2 linked regions of the Arabidopsis thaliana genome follow. The protein of the gene in region 1 interacts with the protein of each later gene in a pairwise test. Each region holds a gene or a part of one and is shown on either strand. Other genes may lie near its edges.

Region 1 (6,938 bases):
TTCTTCAGGGAAATTCAGCTGAGCTTTTCTACCTTTTAGACAAAACGCTGCCACGTCGTAGGCCTTAGCAGCCATCTCCGGCACCGGAAAAGATCCGAGCCAAATCCGAGACTTTTTCCGGGGCTCTCTGATCTCAGAAACCCATTTTCCCCATCGGCGTTTGCGAACTCCGTGGTACACTGGATGCCTCGTGGTCGATGAGCTGGTTTCTTTACCTCCTCCGCCGCAAGATTTAACGGCAGAAGCGGTGGCGGTTGGTTCGTTGTTGGTAACTGGTGGTGATGATAGCTTCATTCTCTGTGGTGACATTAAAGAGTTTGTTATGTGGTTAAGTCACACTGTTATCTACATTTATAATCTCATCCAATCCCATTTTCTAACCAAAAGCGTTACTGTTTATTATCTGAATTTACATAAATGCCCCCAACGTACATTTAAATCATAGACTTTCGATTACCGGAATGTAATTTTCCAAATCTACTGCCAAATGGATAGTAGTACGTAGTGTGCGTAATTCTATTTCATATGCCGTAACTAATAATAATGATATACTCTTTATACAAAAAAATAATATACAGAAATCAGTGGGAAGGATTTTCCCTATTTTATATCTGTAGTTTGTCCATGGGTTGTAAATTTCTTACAATAAACAGCTGAATCAAATTAAATCAGTGATAGTTTTAGTACCAAAAAGATGATTTATTAAAATAAAAATTGCGCGATCTTGCATAAAAACAAAATTGAAGAACATGGGGGCTACTGATACCGCCGATGATTAATTAACTTTATATGTCAAATTAAACCAAAAAGTATATATGTCAAATCTTTGTCTCCCCAGCAATCGGGAGTGGTGGTGGGGAAATGCTTTCAATAGCTCATGTACTGGTGACGTTGTGTCCTATAGTTTTAGCACTTCTTTCAACGAATTGGTAAAAATAAGTGTCGATGGCAAGAAAGAGACTAAATAAATCTTATGTCTGAAAAGATTATGAAACTAAAGTCTAAAAGGGTATTAAAAATATATTATGTAGTATGTAATGTTAATAGCTTAGTACAGTAGTACTAGTACACCTACTCACATCTTGACATATCGTAGTGAACTTGTGTATACACGTTGCATATTAAGATTAACACTCAAGTATTTTACTCCAAAATTTGAGTACAAGCTTCAGCCAAAGTTAAAATAAGTATCTGACAGTGGAAAATTATAAGTGTGCTTACAATAATTTATTATTATAATGAAATCACTTTGTTAGGTGTAATTTTGTGTGCATGCATGCCATGATCGTGAAAATATATCTACAAAGAAACCCTTTTCCTTTCCTAATTATTAACTTATTAATTTATTTTCTTTTATATATATGATATACTTGGGCAATGCAGGTCCACATAGGTTGCTTTTAAAAATTAGCATTGATTATTTTTTGAAGGGACCATAGTCTAAACTCTAGTCTATACCACTCATAAATCTGTACTACTCAAAAAAAATGTCTTTCATGATTTTGCATTTTGCTACTATAATTACCATTACAAAAGAATATAAACTTTTCCCATGATGTAGTACGATTATTACAAGAAGAAAAAAATGACAACTAGCTAAAGTTATCATTCTTAAGGAAAGAAAAATTTAAGGTATCACAAGAAAATTCACGTCTTCGTACGGTGATTTGTAATCCCTTAAGCAAAAGGGCAGTTGATAAATATCACCTGAAGTCTATGGTTTCCACATTTTAACCCATCACGTCACTACATATTAACAAGGAACCATTGAAATTTACTTCAAGTAATTAATACTAATATCGCAATCAATTTTTTTATTGAAAAAATTGGGGAAATAGATAGCAAGAGGAGTTACGAAACTCACTTTCTTCTTACATCAGATGAGACCATACACGGCTTTACTATCAGTTTTGTCTCCGGGTGCTTTCGTGTAAACAATTTTAACACTTGTTCGTTTTTAAAACAGTAAGTAACTGAAAATATATATGTATATGTGTGTGACGTATATATGTATATATATATTTCTTTTTTTATTGAGCTTCGAGATTTGTTTTTTTGTTCATACGATGAGCTTTAAGTTTTGGTCGGTTCTTTTTTCCTTTTCGTGAGTTGTTGGTAGATTAAAGTAGTCATCTTATGATTTGTGTTTTTTTTGGTTGTTACCAAAAAGGTGACGATTTTGTTGACGTTAAACACGGAATTCATTGTAACATGAATATATCAACTATAAACGCCAAAATGGGATTTTCTTTTTTTTATAAGGTAACAAAATTAAGGAAAAACTATTGTTACAACTTCAACTTGCAAGTATGTTTCTGAAGCTAGAGTTTACAGTCACGTGTGAAAATCAAACCAATTTGGATCATTATTGAAGATAAATGAATACTTGATATATTGTTAGTACAAATTTAAACAAAGCGATAGGTTTAGTGGCATTCAGAATAAGTTCACCAAGAACCGGCACTACTTTATCCGGGATTAAATCAACTCTTACAATAGAGTTAACTGGACTAATAGGCCGATTTGTTGTGGTAAAACAAAACCAATGAAATATATGATAAGATTGAGATTTAAGAATTCAAGACTGAGTCCGTTGAACAGCCCATTCTAATTCTGATTGCTAGATAAGGGATAGATGGGGGGCATTATTAAGGTTTGGGAAAAAGGCTGATATCACGTTTGACCTAGCACATATGTGGCCCAACATTACAAGAATTCCATAGAAAACCAGTATTGTAATATCGGCCCATATTATATTCTTGACGACTTGGAGATATTGTAAGTCGACGTCGTTGTTTGACTTAGATGGGAATGGGACCCAAACGTCTCGAATAAAGGATAGTTTAAACACGTGAATCACGCGGTCCCCACTTTTTGCTGTGTGTTTCTCACCGCCATACATATATTATACCCACTCGTGACTTCATTTTCCATAATTACTATATATACTAATTTTTTGTTTTAACTTTATCGTTTGTTAAAGATTTTTCCAAAATAATATAGTCATTGTATATTCATTTTCGCAGAGCCGTAGTTTATATTTTGATGATAATTTTATGACTTAAAGAGTGAAAGCTATAAATATATTACAATTCAATTGTGGTTGCGAGAGAATAAACAAAAAGAGAAAGAGAAAAAAAAAACGTTACAGAAGAGAAAGTGCAGAGCTGTGCAGGCGCATTTGAAAATGAAATTAAAAAGAAAAAGAGATCCAAAGAAAATTAAATGCATCTCACGTTCTTCTCATTCTGGTCATCTCTCCTAAATCCACGTGAACTTCACGTGCTTTTCACGCCCTCCTCTCTATCGACTTGGCGTTTCCTTTCTTCTAAAGGAGTTGAATTGTTTTGTCAACATTTATCAAGTTATTTAGTAATTTGTTTTTTTGTTTTGTTTTTAAAAAAATTATTTACTCCCGTTGTAGAACCACCATCAATAATATTACCAAAAATAATAATCAAGGATCTAAACTAAAATAAGCCTTTTATTTTGTATAATTCTGAAAGCATTTGAAACTTAAGGAACAACTCTTTAGTCTTTGCAACAAAACAAAACACAACAAAAACCGAATATTTAAGCCTAACTTGAATGTGAATTGATTTGGTCAAAATTCCCGGTGCTTGACCACCGGTCTTAGTTGGCATACTTTGCAATTATGTAAACAAAAATTTTAAAAATTGAAAGCAAACTTCTAAATTTGGGTTTGGTTTCCCCTTTAGTTATTTCCATGAACATGAGAATCTAATCTCGAGTTGTCAGATAGTATTTGTTTAGATCTACACCAGTTGAGATAGATCTGTTGCAAATTTTTAATTAATCAAAACCCATAATTGAAAATTATGTCAATCAATTATTGACAAAAACCATGACATAATCTAAGGGGTTTTCAATCGTCGTGTATCAAAGACTCGAGACAAAGACTAAATCGAACCAGACCCGGTTTAAGTTTCTAAACTCAATTGTGTAGTTAAGTAGCTAACCATGGTTCAGATGAAAGTCTTTTTGTTTTGTTTTTTGTTTTGTTTGTTGGGGTTTGGTCTTTTAATAAAAAAGAGCACGAAGAACATGCGTCGGACTCTCTCTCTTCCTTGAATTCATTCAATTGGCCACGGCGACAAAACAGGGAGCCGATACAGCGAAACTGATACATCTTTTTTTATTTTCTGGATTCTTAGGGTTCTTTTTCGGGGAATTTAGGTAATTTGTTTGTCCATTTTGGTGGGGTTTGGGAGATTTAAAATTTGTGTTTTTTTTTGGGTCGGATTCTCAAAAATCTGATTTTGAGGAGAAAATCTCGGTGGAAGAGACTTGATTCAAATCTTCTTTACTGGTAAAAATATATTCTTCTCAATTCCTCATTTTCTGTTGGTGGAGTTTGATTTTTGTCATTTAATTGTTGTTAAAGAAAATAGGGGCAAGATCTGAGATCTCTGGGTGTTCCATGCAAAACTGTTATACTCCGCCGTATATTTGCATCTGGGTCACACTTCTAAACCCTATCATTTGACTTAAGAATCGATTTCTGAAGATCTGGGTTTCTTAAAAGTCTTTCCTTTTTGTTGGGATCCAAACAACAAAAGAAAAGAAAGCAGAGATGAATATTGGTCGCCTAGTGTGGAACGAGGACGATAAAGCGATTGTTGCGTCATTACTGGGCAAACGAGCTCTCGATTACTTGCTTTCCAACTCTGTTTCCAATGCTAATCTCTTGATGACTCTAGGAAGCGACGAGAATCTGCAGAACAAGCTCTCGGATCTCGTCGAGAGACCCAACGCTTCTAATTTCTCTTGGAACTACGCCATTTTCTGGCAGATTTCCAGGTCAAAGGCCGGAGATTTGGTTCTCTGTTGGGGCGATGGATATTGCAGAGAGCCTAAAGAAGGAGAGAAATCAGAGATCGTTAGGATTCTAAGTATGGGAAGAGAAGAAGAAACGCATCAGACTATGAGAAAGAGAGTATTGCAAAAGCTTCATGATTTGTTTGGTGGCTCAGAAGAAGAGAACTGTGCTTTAGGACTAGATAGAGTTACTGACACTGAGATGTTTCTTCTTTCTTCTATGTATTTCTCATTCCCTCGAGGTGAAGGTGGTCCAGGCAAGTGTTTTGCCTCTGCTAAACCTGTTTGGTTATCCGATGTCGTCAATTCGGGTTCTGATTATTGCGTTAGATCGTTTCTTGCTAAATCTGCTGGCATTCAGACTGTTGTTTTGGTTCCTACTGATCTTGGTGTTGTTGAGTTAGGCTCAACTTCATGTTTGCCTGAAAGTGAAGACTCAATCTTGTCTATAAGATCATTGTTTACCAGTAGTTTGCCTCCGGTTAGAGCTGTTGCTTTACCTGTTACTGTAGCTGAAAAGATTGATGATAACAGAACGAAGATATTCGGCAAGGATTTGCACAATTCAGGGTTTCTTCAACATCATCAGCATCACCAACAACAACAACAACAACCACCGCAACAGCAACAGCATAGACAGTTTAGAGAGAAACTCACGGTTAGAAAAATGGATGATAGAGCTCCCAAGAGATTAGATGCTTATCCGAATAATGGGAACAGGTTTATGTTTTCGAACCCAGGCACCAACAACAACACTCTTCTGAGTCCTACTTGGGTTCAACCTGAGAACTACACGAGGCCAATCAACGTGAAGGAAGTTCCAAGCACGGATGAGTTCAAGTTTTTACCTTTGCAGCAATCATCGCAGAGGCTGCTTCCTCCTGCTCAAATGCAGATAGATTTCTCTGCTGCGAGTTCAAGGGCTTCAGAGAATAATTCAGATGGAGAAGGAGGAGGGGAATGGGCAGATGCAGTGGGTGCTGATGAATCTGGTAACAACAGACCAAGAAAACGCGGAAGGAGACCTGCCAACGGAAGAGCGGAAGCTTTGAACCATGTAGAAGCAGAGAGGCAGAGGCGTGAGAAGCTTAACCAGAGGTTTTACGCTCTGAGATCCGTTGTTCCCAACATATCCAAGATGGACAAAGCGTCCTTGTTGGGAGACGCGGTTTCTTATATAAACGAGCTTCACGCGAAGCTAAAGGTCATGGAAGCAGAGAGAGAGAGGTTAGGGTATAGCTCAAATCCACCTATCAGCTTGGATTCAGATATAAATGTTCAAACCTCAGGTGAAGATGTCACAGTGAGGATAAACTGTCCGTTGGAGTCTCATCCGGCTTCCAGAATCTTCCATGCGTTTGAAGAGAGTAAAGTAGAAGTGATAAACTCGAACCTGGAAGTTTCTCAGGACACAGTGTTGCATACGTTTGTAGTCAAATCTGAAGAATTAACGAAAGAGAAGCTGATATCGGCCTTGTCTAGAGAGCAAACAAATTCAGTTCAGTCAAGAACATCATCAGGTAGATAGCCTTTTGAGAGACAGAAGAAGGTGGAAGTAAGTTTGTAATCAAGAACCGGTTTTGAATGGTTCTTTTTTTCTTCTAGGTATCTTTTGTTTTTACCTTTTTTTGGTTATATACCTGTAAGAATCCTCCAAACTAGGATTTTAGAAGTTTTATTGACAAAAGTAGACATTATCATTTACTCGTTTTACAGTGGACAAAGCTGGGAATTAAGTAATTAACGATAATGTTGTATCTGTTAAAGTCGTAGACTAGCTCATGAATCAGTCTTTATTCATTCTGATATGTCCTATGTGTTGGATTTGGTGAAGTGTTTAATCGACAAGTCAGATAAGTGTTATGGATTGGTCACGGAATTGCTCAAGAACAACAAAACACAGCTGATTCATTGCTTGTGAACAAGAGGAAACACTATGATGTTCGTGCACACCATTTTTAGTGTTCAAACTAACATAAACCGTTATCGCCTGGGGAAAACAAAAGTTTTAAGAAGAGAAACAGGTGGAAAATGTAACAAAAATAAAAATAGGTTCCACCGAGACTTGAACTCGGGTTACTAGATTCAGAGTCTAGTGT
Region 2 (6,816 bases), about 27 Mb from region 1:
ACATATCATTTTTTGTAATATATCATCTTAGGTATTTTACACAATCATCAACCTCAAGAGAATTTTCACCTTCTTATTTTCTTTACATTGATACCAAAAAAAAACTCGAGAGAATAATAGTAAAGTGGACTTGTTAACAACGAAAGCTGGCGATACAAAACTAGTACTATTCTCTTTAGCGATGCATTCAATATGATTTTGGTATAAATCAATTAAGTGTTCATATAATTAGTTAATGAAGTGTGTTTGTGAAATTAGCAAAAAAAAAATTATAGTGAATTTTATTTGATATTAAATTCTTGACAGACATGAGTCCATGACAAACATATATCTGTTAGTTCTTAAAGTTATAATGTAATCCTACAATAAACAGACCAAAGCATTACAAACAATGATCAAATACAGAGACGCCCTAACGTCTTCTCCTGCTCGTAAGAATATAAATGGTAACTATATAATCATAATCTAATGATTACAATTACAAATTACCATTGTAAAAAAAAAAAAAAAAAGTGTAGGTTTTATGTAGGAGAAGTAGAAGAGTAATTCATTCCACTGGATTCTCCGGTCGACAAATCAAGAAGCATCTTCTTGTATGGCATTGCACTCATAAGCCTGCACCAACAACATCAATTCTTTTAGATTCAATTGAAAAACCTCAAAATTTTCTATAAAGAAAAAAAATACAAAATCAAACCTCTCTTTGCGCTTCTCCAAGAACCGAGCCAAGGATGCTTTCCGAGCTTGAGGGACTGGAAAAAAGCAATTTTCGAGTTTAGACATATGATTTGAGGAAGCAAAAATCTTGATTATATTTTGTTTTGATGTTGATATTAGACACACATACCTGAAGGAATCATGTTACGAGGAGCTGCATTGAATGATTCGATCATGCTCATTGCATTAGTCGCAGCAACGGGTGTGTCCCTACACCTTGAGAAATTATCAGTGTGAGTGGCAGAGCTTGATGAGGTAGCAGCAGTGTTATGGATTTGTTTTCCATACATTCTTTCAGCTTCTCGAACCGGTTTGCTATCTCCAGTTTCACCTTTCAAACCGTTCCCGGCGCATAACATGATGGCTTGAGCCTACTCACATATCATGAATAGTCCGTTTTAGAACATGTAAATGTTATGTAAATGTTATTTGTATGAATCTTGATTATATATACCTTATCGGGAGATATGTCATTAAAGACGCTTATAGTTCCGCCATAAAAGATTGTGAGCTGAGGAGATGATCCGGAGGAAGCCACTCTGTTTCCACAAACCCACATAACCAAATCAAAATATGAAAAGAGCAAAAAAATTGTTGAATGTTTTTGCATCATAATATGGAAATTACCGTGGAACAAGAGAAGGATGAGTTGGTAAAGGAACTGAACCGCCTAGTAAAAGCGGCGTCGCGTTTTGAAACGCACCACCAAATTGGCATCTGCGGAAAACATTGGCCGCAGAAACTGATCCCCACTGGTATGCACCCGGAAACGCCTTAGCCTCCTAATTTGTTAAATTCAAATTTTAATCGTCAACGTCTTTAAATTTTTTGTACATTCTAAATTTAGAAAAATGCCAAGAAATAAACGTGATCCAAACGCCAAACACCAAACGCCACAAAATATTAAATTATTTTTTCCCTAACTTTGCGGCTGGCAGACGACCGACCCTACCAGCTCTTAACTAGCACTTATCCAACAATTTTTTTTCCCTGGTTAATGATTGGCCACATACACAAAAATGATAAAGTTCGGCCATTTATCCGACCATTTTCCGGTGGCTATCTCTTACGAAAACAACTTTTCTCATAAATATGTGATTGATGTGTTTAACATAATTTGAAAGTAAATTCTTCTTTTTAATCAAGACCATAATTGAGTACTCCTCTTGCACATGCTAAAAGACGACCATGATTATGCGGTAGCTTATAGAACCATTAGATTAGCCATAACATCTGAAACTGATACAGAGTAAGTTAAATTTTAAGATGAACCAACCTGGAAATCTGAAGAAGGCATGAAACTTGAAGTAGCAAAAACCTTTGACTTCCCCCATTCTCTAGCTGCCTTCGTACTTAACCCTATAAGTATCATTTTTTATGGTCGTCAATTTGACTAATCTATCCAATCTCATTTTTATAAAAGATTTAATGGAATCTTTTTTTTTTCAAGTTTTGGAATCTGAAAAATTATATTTAAATAAACAACTTTATACGGCTATGTTAAAAGTGAAAACTGATCTCTTCTTGAAACATTAAAATAAAAGATTCTCGAGACAAGAACACAAACCTCGTTCTTCGACAGCATCATCGTTAACCTCATGCTTAACGTTATTACTTAGATACTGCTTGTCGCTCAAACCCAGAAAATCTCTTTCCATTGCAAACCAAATATTCAATGACAAACTCTCAAATTAACGTGTTTCTCTCTGTTTCTTGCCCAAAACATCCAATTTAAAGAAGAGGAAGAAGAAAACAGAAGAAAGAAGTGGGAATCCACAAGGAAGGTTTCGTTTTGGTAATGTTACAGACACACTTTTGGAGAGGCTTATTTAACTCTTTGCCTTTCCTGTTTTTAAAGGCTTGCTTGATTAAAGCATGTGGGGCTTTTTTCTGACCGGTACAAACGGTTGGTGCTACTGGTTAAACCGGTTAATTCACACGTGTTTATTCTTTTGATTTTTTCATTTCTGAGGACCATATACAATTAGACATCCGTCGACCGTCGGTGGCTCTAGTTTATAATAGTGCATGTTTTTTTTCAAAGGTGGATTAATTAGTTTGGCTATTGGATATTTTCTTCGTGAACTCACACACACATGTAAAATGTGTGGTTGCTTTTCTTATGCAACGGTTTGGTATTTATCACATATTTTTTTCTTTTCTTTGAAAATTATTTCAACTATAATAATAAATGAAATGATAAGCCAAGACTCTTTCGTTGAGGCAAAAGTAATGTCACGTATTGGATATACAATAACCAAATCACGAGAATGCTCAATGGGCTGAAAGAAGTTTGATTTGCTTATCTAAGGCCCATAATTTTGTTTACGGCCCGACTTACATTAAATCTGTTCAGTATAACTGTACAGATTTGGCTAAATTGCATTCCAAACTAGACCTCCAAGAACTTGAGTGAACTTTTGCTAAGCTCATTTCATAACACGTGAAATTTTTGAATCTTTGATACATCATGTTGTTATTTGAGACCAATTTTTCTTATTCATATAATGTTTCAAACAGACGCAAGTCATTTATTAGTCATGTTACTCATGTACAAATTAAAAGAAGAACCTGGTTATGAAGCAATCATCGGTAGTACATTAAGAATTTCAGAAAATTAAAAAAAATATGGAAAAGAATTAGACGTTAGTTGGTCTTTCAAAGTCCTAAAACGATTTGGTAGTCAGCTTACAATTTTAAATTATCATTTTTAATGATTAAAGGACATTAGGCCAAGTCTTCAATTGAGTTCTTTAGACAATATGAGAATAAATAATGATGAATACGATGAAAAGATTCGTTCAGACATTCGCAATAGGACGAACACAGTTATCATTTTTTGGATCTCCATCCTGATTTACGGTTTAATATGTTCCATTATTCTCGACACGTTCATTTATTTTAACTTGTTTGTGTATTGATAAAAGAAGCTCAAACCCTTTTAATTACTGTTATTTTTTGCATAGACGAAAAACATGGCATTTATAGAAGATAAGAAATCGAAGGTTTCATTCACATCAAAGAAGAAGATATCGCTTTGGCCTATATAAGTCCGACAATTATACAAAAATCGATTCGGAGATACAATCATATCAATACTATATCAAATTATCAATATACTATAACTACGTACATCTTATGAGGGAGAACAAAAAAAATTACAAAAATACAACTAACAGTGTGGCTCGACTCGAGTTGTTGATTGATATCTTTCCCACTTTGTCCTTTCATTTACACCATTTCTCATCTGCAAAAGGCATATACATAGTAATTTAGATTTTATGATCGATAAAAGAACTGAAAAAAAAACGTAAATCAATATCAAAAATACCTTGTAATTTTCTACAACACTTTCCAACAAAAGCGAGAAACACAACGAGCAAGATGATTAAGGTGACGATTCCTATTATTATCGCCAATGTTTTTCCCACTCCATTATCATCCTTATTGCCCTTCTCTCCTTCTGCCAAATATATATATATATAATTTTAAAACTATCCATCCACCTCTAAAGTTTTTAATAAATTTGTTTTCTCCATCAAGTATAATGTTCATATTTTTATTTATGGTCAACACTATCAATTTTATGGGTTTAAAAATTTAGCGTCGTACACAAATATATAAACCATTAGACTAATTGTTAAGATCAGTCTAATATTTAAATTTTCATCTGAGGTTACGTAAAAAGGTTTTTTTTTTAGTGATTACGACTTTTTATTTTTTTATCTAGTTTAGTTAAAATAAGTTTAGAGGAAGACTGACCATGACCAAAGTTTGGGCCTGGGGTCTGACGCGCGTGACTACCACCAACACTGAAACGCGCGTAACATTTCGACAAGTAAACATATCCTCCCTGAGCCATTCCACAATCAGATTTGAGCCGTCCGATTGCATCAGACAAGCAATCTTGGCACTGTGATGTACTTAGATCACCGGAGCACTGAGCCACACCCTGAACATTCCCGTTGCCACCTGTCCTGTAAGATCCATCTCCGGTACCTAAAGAACCGATGACGTCACTAGCTTTGGTCAACGCATCCTGGTCGTTGAATTCCATCGGCTGTCCACATTTGTTGAGGATCAACGTTTTGTCTTGAACCCCAAGGAACGATTTGTTGTCGTAACGGATCAGACAATTTTCCATCTGCAAGAACCCGGAGTACGAGTTTGAACATAAGGCTCCGACCTGTGCGACGGCGCTTGATACGCACGTCGAGCAGGCGGTTGGGTCTAGGTCGCCGCGGCACTGGTAAATACCGTATACGGTAACGGTTGGTTCCGGTTTCCCGGTGGGAACTGTGAAGTTGGCGTAGCGGGTTTGGGCGGTTGAGGTGACGAAGGAAGAGAGGAGGGAGTTAAGATTTGTCTCGTAGCCGGAGCTAGGGGAGAATTTAGCCGGAGAACAAACGGCGTATATGTAATTGTCAGTGGGGGAGGAGGAAGATGGGTTCATTAGTATAACGGCTGTGAGAAGGAAACAGAGAAGGGACGTCGTCTTTGTCTTGATCATGGTTACTTTTTGTTTTGAGAGATAGAGAAAGAGAGAAGATGATTTGGTAAAATATAAATTGAAGAGCGAAGACTTGCTTTAAAGATAATTGACGTAAAGAAGGGTACTCTTATATGTGGTTCCATGTTGCATGCTTTTGGTTTTTTTTTTTTTGGTTTTTGGTTGGGGACGTTCTTAAGAATTTCCACAATTTGCAAGTTCCATATCATTGAAATTACTAAATAATTGCAACTCTTTCTTCGTTCAGACTTTTTTTTTTAAAGCTATAATGTGGAATTTGGCAATGTGCGTCTATCCATTACAACTTTCTTTTTGTTAATCTATCCTTACTCATGTCATTTGAATTCAATTTTTTATTTTGACAGTGACTCGTGTGAATTCGTTAGCCTCTACCGTTACTACTAATTACCCTTACTTGCCAGTTGCCACTTATCAAGAAGGCAATAAAACTGAGGAGTTAATTTCTTATAGTATTGTGAAGTTTGAATGCGTATAGAAAGGCCAAATCGGCGGACTTACCACGAAATTAATAAAAAACCAACTTCTTTATTCATGTATTATGTATATATAATCAACACAAAAAGATATGAAAATTTGCATTCAACTAGTTTATTTTTCTTATATCAGATGATAGGAGTGACGAAGCAATTCTCGCATTATGTGTGTGTATATAAAAATTGACAATAGTAGGTCTTTTTTTTTGTTTTTCTATATCATCAGAAAAAAAAAGCAATACGAATAATACCGAGCAATGACGACGTATACGTCATGAAAACGAGTTATGGTCATTAATATATTACATGTAGTATAGCGTATAGAGTTTGGATAGGCAATGGTACTTGAAAATGATTTTAGAAGATGAATTTTAATTATATAGAAAGGGATATTGGCGTGCTGGTCGAGATGTTGTATACATTTATGTAAGGGTTGTATCAACATTTTATTATTTTTATTAGTATGATGAGAAATCAATCAAGTAACTAGGCTGCCAACGTCAAAGTTCAGTTACGGGACCGGTGAACGAATAGAGAAGACAATAATGTTATTTGACCGACTTTTGTTTAGTTCTTATAACCACAACACCCATAGACCTTTTCTTTGGCTATAGATTGTTCTTATTGACTTTAGTAATACTATTTCTTTTTGTTGGAAGGTTAGATTCTTTTATTATCCATTGTAGCTCAATTAGTAAAGACCTTAGGCGAATCTTAGAGGTCGCCAGTTCGAATGACGCTTGGGACGAAACTAATATTACATGCTGTGGTTTCGAACCTGAGGGGATTACGGGCTTCGGCCCAGAATTTACTGGTATTCAATAAAAAATAAAAAATAAAAAAATCGTTACGGCTGCAAAAGAATTTATTGTTGTACGTATACTTGAATCTATCTATAAATTAATTACAACATGGATGTTGTATTTTTTCATACTACACATGTTTTAGTACTTAGTACATGAACTATTAACTATAGAAGGTAACATTTATGATACTAGATCATTGATAATTATTAAGGAAACAATGACAATAATGTAACAATACAAGAGTAATCATTTTGTCGATAAGGGATTCTATTCAGTTATGAAGTTGAAA

What was found.
Region 2: the proteins of AT1G01260 (region 1) and TIFY7 interact in binary tests that used the Arabidopsis thaliana proteins (3 or more experiments, as listed by UniProt).

What each region holds. Positions count from the first base shown.
Region 1 is NC_003070.9:105,001-111,938, forward strand, and holds AT1G01260 (basic helix-loop-helix (bHLH) DNA-binding superfamily protein), read left to right. Parts: upstream 1-3,945; 5' UTR 3,946-4,330; exon of another isoform or gene 4,331-4,405; 5' UTR 4,406-4,594; coding exon 4,595-6,367; 3' UTR 6,368-6,699; downstream 6,700-6,938. Other genes in the region: AT1G01250 (Integrase-type DNA-binding superfamily protein), read right to left, coding at 1-309.
Region 2 is NC_003070.9:26,650,510-26,657,325, reverse strand, and holds TIFY7 (TIFY domain/Divergent CCT motif family protein), read right to left. Parts: upstream 2,559-6,816; 5' UTR 2,376-2,558; coding exon 2,285-2,375; intron 2,077-2,284; coding exon 1,994-2,076; intron 1,500-1,993; coding exon 1,345-1,499; intron 1,257-1,344; coding exon 1,172-1,256; intron 1,089-1,171; coding exon 848-1,088; intron 753-847; coding exon 577-752; coding exon of another isoform or gene 522-576; 3' UTR 262-521; downstream 1-261. Other genes in the region: HWI1 (Receptor-like protein kinase-related family protein), read right to left, coding at 3,945-3,964, 4,049-4,180, 4,480-5,227. UniProt on the Arabidopsis thaliana protein: Repressor of jasmonate responses. Jasmonoyl-isoleucine (JA-Ile) specifically promotes COI1-TIFY7/JAZ9 interaction. Interacts with and suppresses RHD6 and RSL1 transcription factor activities to negatively regulate jasmonate-stimulated root hair development.